Linked DNA regions of Callithrix jacchus. The protein of the gene in region 1 purifies or fractionates together with the protein of each later gene. This does not show direct contact. Links are inferred from orthologs where the notes say so. Each region holds a gene or a part of one and is shown on either strand. Other genes may lie near its edges. The genes, in order: UXT and RPAP2.

Region 1 (4,509 bases):
AGGCTGAATATGTTACCCCTAAGACTGAAAACAATGCAAAGATGTCCACTTTCACCACTCTTATTCAACATAGTACTGGAACTTCTTGCCAGTGTAACAAAGGAAGAAAAGCAGAGGTACAGAGATTGGAAAGAAAGAAATAAAACTATCCCTGTTTGTATATGACACAATTGCCCATGGAGAAAACCAAAGGAATCTACCAAAAAAGGTGTAAAACCTAATAACTGAGCTCAGCAAGACTGCAGGATACAAGACCAACAGACAAAACTCAATTGTATTCCTATATATAAGCAGCAACTTAAAAGAGAACACCATTTACGACCACTCCAAAAAAATTAAACACTTAGGTATAAATTTAAATAAGACGTGTACAGAACTTGTGTGATAAAAATTACAATATACCATTGACAGAAATTTTTAAAGATTTAAATAAACAGAGACATACTATATACATGGATTGGAAGATTTGTCACAGTTAAAACTTAACTTCTTTCCGAGTTGGTAAACATGTTTAATGCAATTCCTATCAAAATCCAAGCAAGATGCTTTGTAGATAGAGACAAGATTTTCTAAAATGTGTATGGGAAAGGCAAAGGAAACAGAGGCATTAAAACACTTTTGAAAAAGAATAAAGTGCGAGGAATCACTCTATCCAATTCAAGACAGCATGGTAGTACTGGCAGAGGGATAGACACATAGACAATGGAACTGAATCGCAAACCCAGAAAGAGCCCACACATAAGTATGGCCAACTTATTTTTGACAATGGTAAGACAAGTCAATGGAGGAAAGATAGTCTTTTCAACAAATAGTGCTTGAGTCTGGACATCCATAAGCAAGTTAATGCACCTCGACCTAAGTCTCATACTTCATACAAAAAGTAACTCACAGTGGATCACAGACAGCAGTAAGGAGACACGGACAAATTACCATCACAGTGGAGAATTTCTCTCTCCTGAAGTAAAAGAAGAAATAGACAAAAAAGGACAGACTTTATATGACACAATTGACCACTAAATAATTAAATATTATTTTCAAGTATATACAGAACGTTTCTAAAAATGCACTACGCACTAGGCCGTAAGTCTCCTTGTATTTCAAGGAATGAGCTCCACGTAGGTGTTTTTCTAACACAGAAAACTAAGGTTACAGATCCATTACAAAGAAACTTTTGCACACTGAAAACCCCACTTTTGAATAACTCCTCAGTAAAAGACAAATGAATACGAGTTAACACTCTTAAAAAACAATGCTCCAAACCCAATGGGGCTTAGAATGAACTTTAAGACCTTAAGGGTGACATTAGAAAAGAGAAAAGCCTGAAAAACGATGAGCGAATCATCCAACTCAAGTTAGACAAACGATTCCATCACTGACCACACAGAATCGCCTAGCACTCACCCACCCCGGTCCCCCATCACCTCCACATCCCTGGGCACTGAACGTCGAATCCTCCTGACAACTATGTAACCCCGGCTGAGAACCGGCGAGAACCGCAGCCGCTTCCGGTCACTACCCCTAGCACCGCCCTTTTTCGGGGTTTGGGACTTCGCATGAGTGAGGGAAAGGGGGGTCCGCGCGTGCGCAAAACCACGTTTGAAGCCGCTAATAGCCAGGAGTTAACATGGAGAAATTACGGAAGTGAGGGGTTTGGGATGTTCGGTGCCCCTCCGCGACGTGTTCAGGTAGGGAACATGGCCGCGCCCAAGTCGCGCTTCCCCATGGGGTACACCATGTTGGAGTAGTGTCCATTCCGTATTGAGGATGAGGACACCTCTAAACTCACAGAGCAGGGAGGTGGAGCTGTCCCGCTGATGGCGGGAAGCACGGGTGGGGACGTTTCTCTGGGCGGGCTTACTGGAGGAGGGGTCTTTGGATCTGTAGTCTATGGGTCCGTTCGATACCGTTCAGAGAAACTGAAGGGCCTCTTGGAAAGAATCAGGGGCGGCCGCGGCTATCTCCTGGCAGATACCACAGGATGAGAAGCGGGGAGATGTCACGTTGACTACAGGCTTCTCCTAGGACATACCACAAGGGAAGGAGGAGGAGAAATCAGGGTTGTGCAAGCCTTCCTAGGATATGCCATGAGGTGGGAAAAGGGGAGAACTCGGAGTGCGGGGTTCTCCCTCCTGCTGTGCCTGTGGGTCTTGGATGCGGGGTTTTAATGCTCCAACAATCTACCTGATCTCCCACTCCATCTACCCTAACTAAAAAGGGACTGTGTACCAGTACTGATAATTTTGAATATGTCTTTAGTCTAACGCAGTATGTCAATAAAAATCTTTAGGAAAAGTTATTATCTTTATTTCCTCATGAAGTCAAATCTATATAGTCATGATGCCCTTGCTTTGGAAATGTAGCTTTAATACAAGGCTCTGCTTCTACCCTTCCACCAGTTTGCTGCCCCTTATCACCTCCAATGTGTAAATTCTGGAGATGTCCCTGCCCTGTGGGAGATGTCACTAGAGCAGAAGGGGAAGAAGTCGTGCAGTCCTCCACCTAAGAATGTCTATTCATCCTTCAAAACCAAGTTCAAGTATCTCCTCTCCAGGGAATCTTCCTGACAGAGCTAGAAGCCTGTATGCCCTGCTGAAAGCCTTTCTGTGAGAGGACCCGGTGTAGGCTGAAGTGTGGACTGGCTAGGGGTTCTCCATCCAGTCTTATCCCCTCTGGTCCTCGGTTTAACAATCTCGAAGGTTAGAGGTGTCCTAGTCCAATTAGCCTCAAACTAATTCTTGGTCAGACAGATCCATCAATCAATAAGGGAGACTGCATACCAGGGGCACCATGGGCAGCTCACTAAGCAAAGGAAAAGAGACTTCTTACATGATTTTGAGGAATAGTGGAGTTGAGATGAAATTGAAATGAAGCAATGTTTTAGTGGGCTCAAAGCAGTTATTATTTTTATTTCCTCATGAAGTCAAATCTATATAGTCATGATGCCCTTGCTTTGGAAATGTAGCTTTAATACAAGGCTCTGCTTCTACCCTTCCACCAGTTTGCTGCCCCTTATCACCTCCAATGTGTAAATTGACCCTCTATGTAAAGGGTCAATGTCAGGTCTGGACTGTGAAGTGAACCCAGAGTGCTGTTTCCTTGGAAACAATTTAGTTGTAGAATTTTGTGTCCCCAGATAACTCTTGCCTAAAGCTCTGCACCTGAGTTGAAAATTGAATGTTGCTTCTCCGGAAGTGACTTGGAATCTCAAGAGTCTGATGTTTCACTCTTACTGATGTAATTTCAAACAGCAATTTCTGATAGTCTATGATTGTAGAGAACAAAGTGTCTCCATGACTAAGGAAGCAATAGTCACCTAAAGTAGGGGTTCTTTATGGCATTAAAACTGCAGCATGTCCTTAGAAGAAATAATGTTTCCTGTGAATTTTGCATTTGGCTTTATATGTGTCTGTTCTTCCATTCTGGTGAATGGCAGGGCACATTTTTATAGTCTGATTTCATTTTTATTTTCTTAGACAATTGGTGTCTTCGTCCATGTTCTGCTTCTATAGGAGAATACCACAGATTGGGTAATTTATAAAGAAAAGAAGCTTATTTGGCTCATAGTTCTGGAGATTGGGAAGTCCAGCATAGTGCCAGCATCCTTCTTGCTGCATTATTCCATGGCAGAGGACGAGAGGGCAAGGAAGCATATGAACAAAGAGCACAAGGGCCTGGGCTCACTTTATAACAACCCACTCTTGAGTTAGTTACTCTTGGTAACTAACTCACTCCCTTAATGACAGCATTAATCAGTTTATGAGAGTGGAGCCTCCATGGCCTATTCACTTTTTAAAAGCCCCACCTCCTAATGCTGTTACAATGGCAATTTCAATGTGAGTTTCAGAGGAGACAAACATTCGAATCATAGCAGTTGAACTTTGATTATCCCAGCTTGTCATTCTGCCCCTGCATCCCTGGTCTGGGCAAATGTTTGTTGAATGAATAAATGAAAGAAGAAATTGAATCCGTGGAAACATATTTGGCATGCATACACTTCTAATAGAGTGCCAAGAATCATTGTTAGTTTTCTTGGATGTCATAATAGTACCAAAAAAAAAAAAAAAAAAGCTCTGTTAGACCACTTCAGAGAAGAAGGAAATGTAGAGCCAGCATATAAAGAGATGTTCAAAGTCATTAGGAAAATACAAGTCAAGACGTAATAAAATGGTATTTTAAACCCATTCAAATTGCAAAAACGTAAAAGTCTGACAGTACCAACAGTTGGAGAGTATGTAGGCCAACAGGATCTTCTTGCCCTGCTGAAGGAATGTAAATCATTGCAAACACTTTAGAAAATATTTTCGCATTTTCTCCTACAGTGAATACATACATACCTTACAGTCCAGTGAGTCCACTCTCATGAATGTATCCAAGAGAGACACTTGCACAAGAAACCTAGGATATGCCTGTTTCTTAGTCTGTTTTCTGTTGCTTACAACAGAATACCTGAAACTGGGTAATTTCTAAACAAAAACAATTTATTTCTTACAGTTATGGAGGCTGAGAAGT
Region 2 (3,825 bases), on another chromosome or scaffold:
CTGTAGCAGCTTATACATCTCTCATGGCATTTAACACATACTGTCTTGAATGACAGTGTAGTTATTATGAGCTTTACTGTCTGGGTGGGATTCCTGGCTCCACCACTTATCAGCTGTGCGATTTTGGGCAAATTGCTTATTCTCTCTGTACTCAGTTTCCTTATCTATAACATAGGGATAATATTAGTAACTACATCATTGTTATGAAGATCAATACCTGTAAAGCTCTTAGAACATACATTTTTCTTCTACTAAATTGTAAGGGTTGGCTTGGCACGGTGGTAATCCCAGCACTGTAGGAGGCTGAGGTGGAGGCAGTGGGGAGCAGGGGGTTGCTACTACTCCAATGTAATTGCTTTCTCAGAAATTAAGGCAAAAAATCTTAATGACCATATAAAGGAAATCCAACAGAATTATAAACAATCTCTGCCTTTAAGAAGCTTATAGTCTAGTTAAGGAACCAGACTAAAACATGAAAAGTTAAACATTTAGTTAATGGTTCTAGTAGTAGGCCATAAAGGAGTACATGATTAAATATGTTACATTGTTCAGACAACTTAGAGAAGGGATTTACTTTAGTCCACATTAGTCAAGGAAGCCTTTATAGGGCTGGTGGAATTTGAACTTAGCCCTGAAAAGTGAGTGAAGTTCAAATAAGAGTGAGACTAATCCAGATTTCTTGTTGATGAGTTTCACAGTACTTTGTCATCCTTTAACTTTTTTCTTAAAGAAAAAAAAAATTTAATGAACTACTTCCTTTTAATTACATTTTCTACTATACATATTGAAGTTTAATAAAAACTTGAAAATATTTGACATGTCACTTGCCTTCAGTTTTCTATTTCTGTATTCTTGTTACAGCCATCCCGATTTTCAACTGCTAAAGGAAGGACAAAGGTATGGTTGAATCAGTATCATTTACCATCTATTTATTTATGTTAATAGAAACATTAGGAGTGAACCAGGTGGTATGAGCTCTTGGACTTCCTGTGCTGATGCATTATGTAAGTGTCCCATTCTAGCCCACAGAAAGAAATATTTGACCTGTTCAGCTTTTTCTTTTGTGATGGTAAAATGATGTGTTTGACCCGTATGATTTATTGTACAGCTGTTCCTACCGAGGAAATCTAATTTAACCTGTTGAAATATGACACAAATACAGCCTCCATCTCAGATACTGTGCTTCTTTGTCAACTAGATTGTGCCTATTACATTTGTTGAAAGGTTTTTATAGTCATATAGGATTTCAAAACCAGTAATGTATCAGTTACTTAATAATTTAAAGAGTGTCTAAAGCATTAATATAAATTCCACGTTGTGATTTTTTTTCTTAACTTTCCTCATGGTATTGTTTGTCTGACCATGGCCATCTCTCAAAACACATCCCTTAACTCTCAGAATAAATGTTCCTAGTTAGTAGTCACTACCTTAGTCAGAGGGCATTGGGCACAAATAAGAGATTGCTATTTATTGATGTATATCTTTAATTTATACCTTCAGATTAGTATAAAAACATAATTGCCTTATTCCAAGAGGAAGTATGAAATACATGAAAGTTAAATTGTTCTAATTTTGTTGAAGTTACACCTGTTTTTACTTTTCTTCTGATGCAAGAGATAGCACCATGGCTATATAGGCTAGATTCTGACTAAAAGATGGTATCTAATTCTGAACTAAGTTTTCATCTTTTTTCTTCATTCCCATCCATGACCTTGCTTTCACCTTTTTTTAAATATATTTTTTTCCTTTACATTTCCCCACAGCATACTTCTTGACCTAGAGTCTTTTTCATCCCAATCTTTTAAAGTTTTGCTATATGTCTATGCTTGAGGACATCCTTGTTTGTTTCAAGTTTGTATTGATGAAGCTACTCTTGCCTTCATTCTTTCATAATTCTTCATCTTATTCAAACTAAATCTGAAAATTGAAGAACATAGTCGGAGACAACTTTTGTTTTTTTATTGTTAGCATGCTGTTGTAATTCTGGATTTTCAAATTTAAATATCTTTTATTGAAAATTGTTGATTTGCTAACTTTTTCTGCTATCAGTTTCCTGTGATTTTCATTCTATAGAATTTTCTGTATGACAACCAGAATTAGAGAATTTACCCATTTATTTTTATCTCTTTATCTTTTCAAACCTAAACACAATTCCTGTAATTTTTTTATTTAAGAAACCAGTAATAAACTTTTCTTTTTTTTTTTTTTCTTTTTTTGAGATGGAGTCTCACTGCATCACCCAGGCTGGAATACAGTGGTGCAATCTCGGCTCACTGCAGCCTCCGCCTCCTGGGTTCAAGTGATTCTCCTACCTCAGCCTCCCGAATAGCTGGGACTACAGGCATACATGAGTCACTATACCCAGCCACAATTTTCAAAAGAAAAGCTTTTTTTAAAAAGGTCAGCTGGTAATCCCAGGACTTTGGGAGGCCAAGACAGTGAGTCACTTGAGGTCAGGAGTTCAAGACCAGCCTGGCCAACATGGTGAAATCCCATCTCTATTAAAATACAAAAACTAGCTGGGCATGGTGGTGCATGCCTGTAATCCCAGCTACCTGGAAGGCTGAGGCAGGAGAATCACTTGAACCTGGAAGGTGGAGGTTGCAGTGAGCCAAGATGGCACCACTGCACTCCAGCCTGGGCAACACAGCAAGACTCCATCTCGAATAAATTTTTAAAAAGTAAAATACAAAAATAAAAAATAAAAAGGTCAGTCAAGCACAGTGGCTCATGCCTATAATCTCAGCACTTTTGGGAGGCCAAGGTGGATGGATCACTTGAGGTCAGGAGTTCAAGACCAGCCTGCCCAACATGGCAAAACCCCATCTCTGCTAAAAAAAAAAATACAAAAACTAGCCAGGCATGTTGTCACCCACCTGTAATCCCAGCTACTTGGGAGGCTGAGGTGAGGGAATCGCTTGAACCCAAGAGGCAGAGGTTGCAGTGAGCTGAGATTGCACTACCGCAATCCAGCCTGGACAACATACTGAGACTCTATCTCGAAAATATGTATATTTTTATATTATTTTTCATACTATATTATATATATATTTTAAATACATATATTATATAAAATAAGCATATATTAGATATAAATTTACATATTATATATACATATTCTATTATATATTTATATGAATATAAATATAAATATATGTATATATTATAAATATAAATATATATATATACTTCATATATATTGATATATATATTTTTGCAACAACAGGCAAATCCAACTACTGCAGTAGGATAGCATTATCAAGTTTTTAAAAAAATTTTTGTTGTACTCTTGTAACAATTTTTAAATAATTGGGGGAAAAAGATGAACGAAGAAGAACTATATCAAAAAATATATTATTAATAGATATAGTGAAATTATAGGCTTTTTCTGAAATTTGTATATCAGAAGCTTATAAACAAGGTTTTACCAAGGGAATTAAAATTTTTACCTTGAAAGTTACAATGTATAAATACTATGGGGTACTTTACTTTCCTATTGTTTTGGTTTTTATTTGCCATTTATTATTTAATTATTTTATTTCTCTTTCATTTTACAGTGGCCATTCTGGAGTAGAAGTAGAGTTATGCAGTAAAGCCATTAAAACATCAGATATAGACAATACTAGCCACTTTGAAAAGCAATATGAATCTAGTTCTTCCAGCACTCATAGTGATAGTAGCAGTGATAATGAGCAAGACTTTGTTTCCTCCATTCTACCAGGAAACAGACCAAATTCAACAAGTATTAGACCACAGCTGCACCAGAAAAGCATAATGAAAAAGAAGGCTGGTCACAAAGCTAACTCCATACACAAAGAACAGACA

Evidence for each region.
Region 2: the proteins of UXT (region 1) and RPAP2 purify together in Homo sapiens (affinity purification with mass spectrometry; 4 studies listed by BioGRID and IntAct, counting the BioPlex papers as one, with this or other methods). This does not show direct contact. The link is inferred for Callithrix jacchus from reciprocal best matches to the Homo sapiens genes UXT and RPAP2.

The regions. Positions count from the first base shown.
Region 1 is NC_133524.1:48,734,144-48,738,652, reverse strand, and holds the start of UXT (protein UXT), read left to right. Parts: upstream 1-1,592; 5' UTR 1,593-1,655; coding exon 1,656-1,685; intron 1,686-4,509. UniProt on the Homo sapiens protein: Involved in gene transcription regulation. Acts in concert with the corepressor URI1 to regulate androgen receptor AR-mediated transcription. Together with URI1, associates with chromatin to the NKX3-1 promoter region.
Region 2 is NC_133508.1:130,049,083-130,052,907, forward strand, and holds part of RPAP2 (putative RNA polymerase II subunit B1 CTD phosphatase RPAP2), read left to right. Parts: intron 1-861; coding exon 862-897; intron 898-3,557; coding exon 3,558-3,825.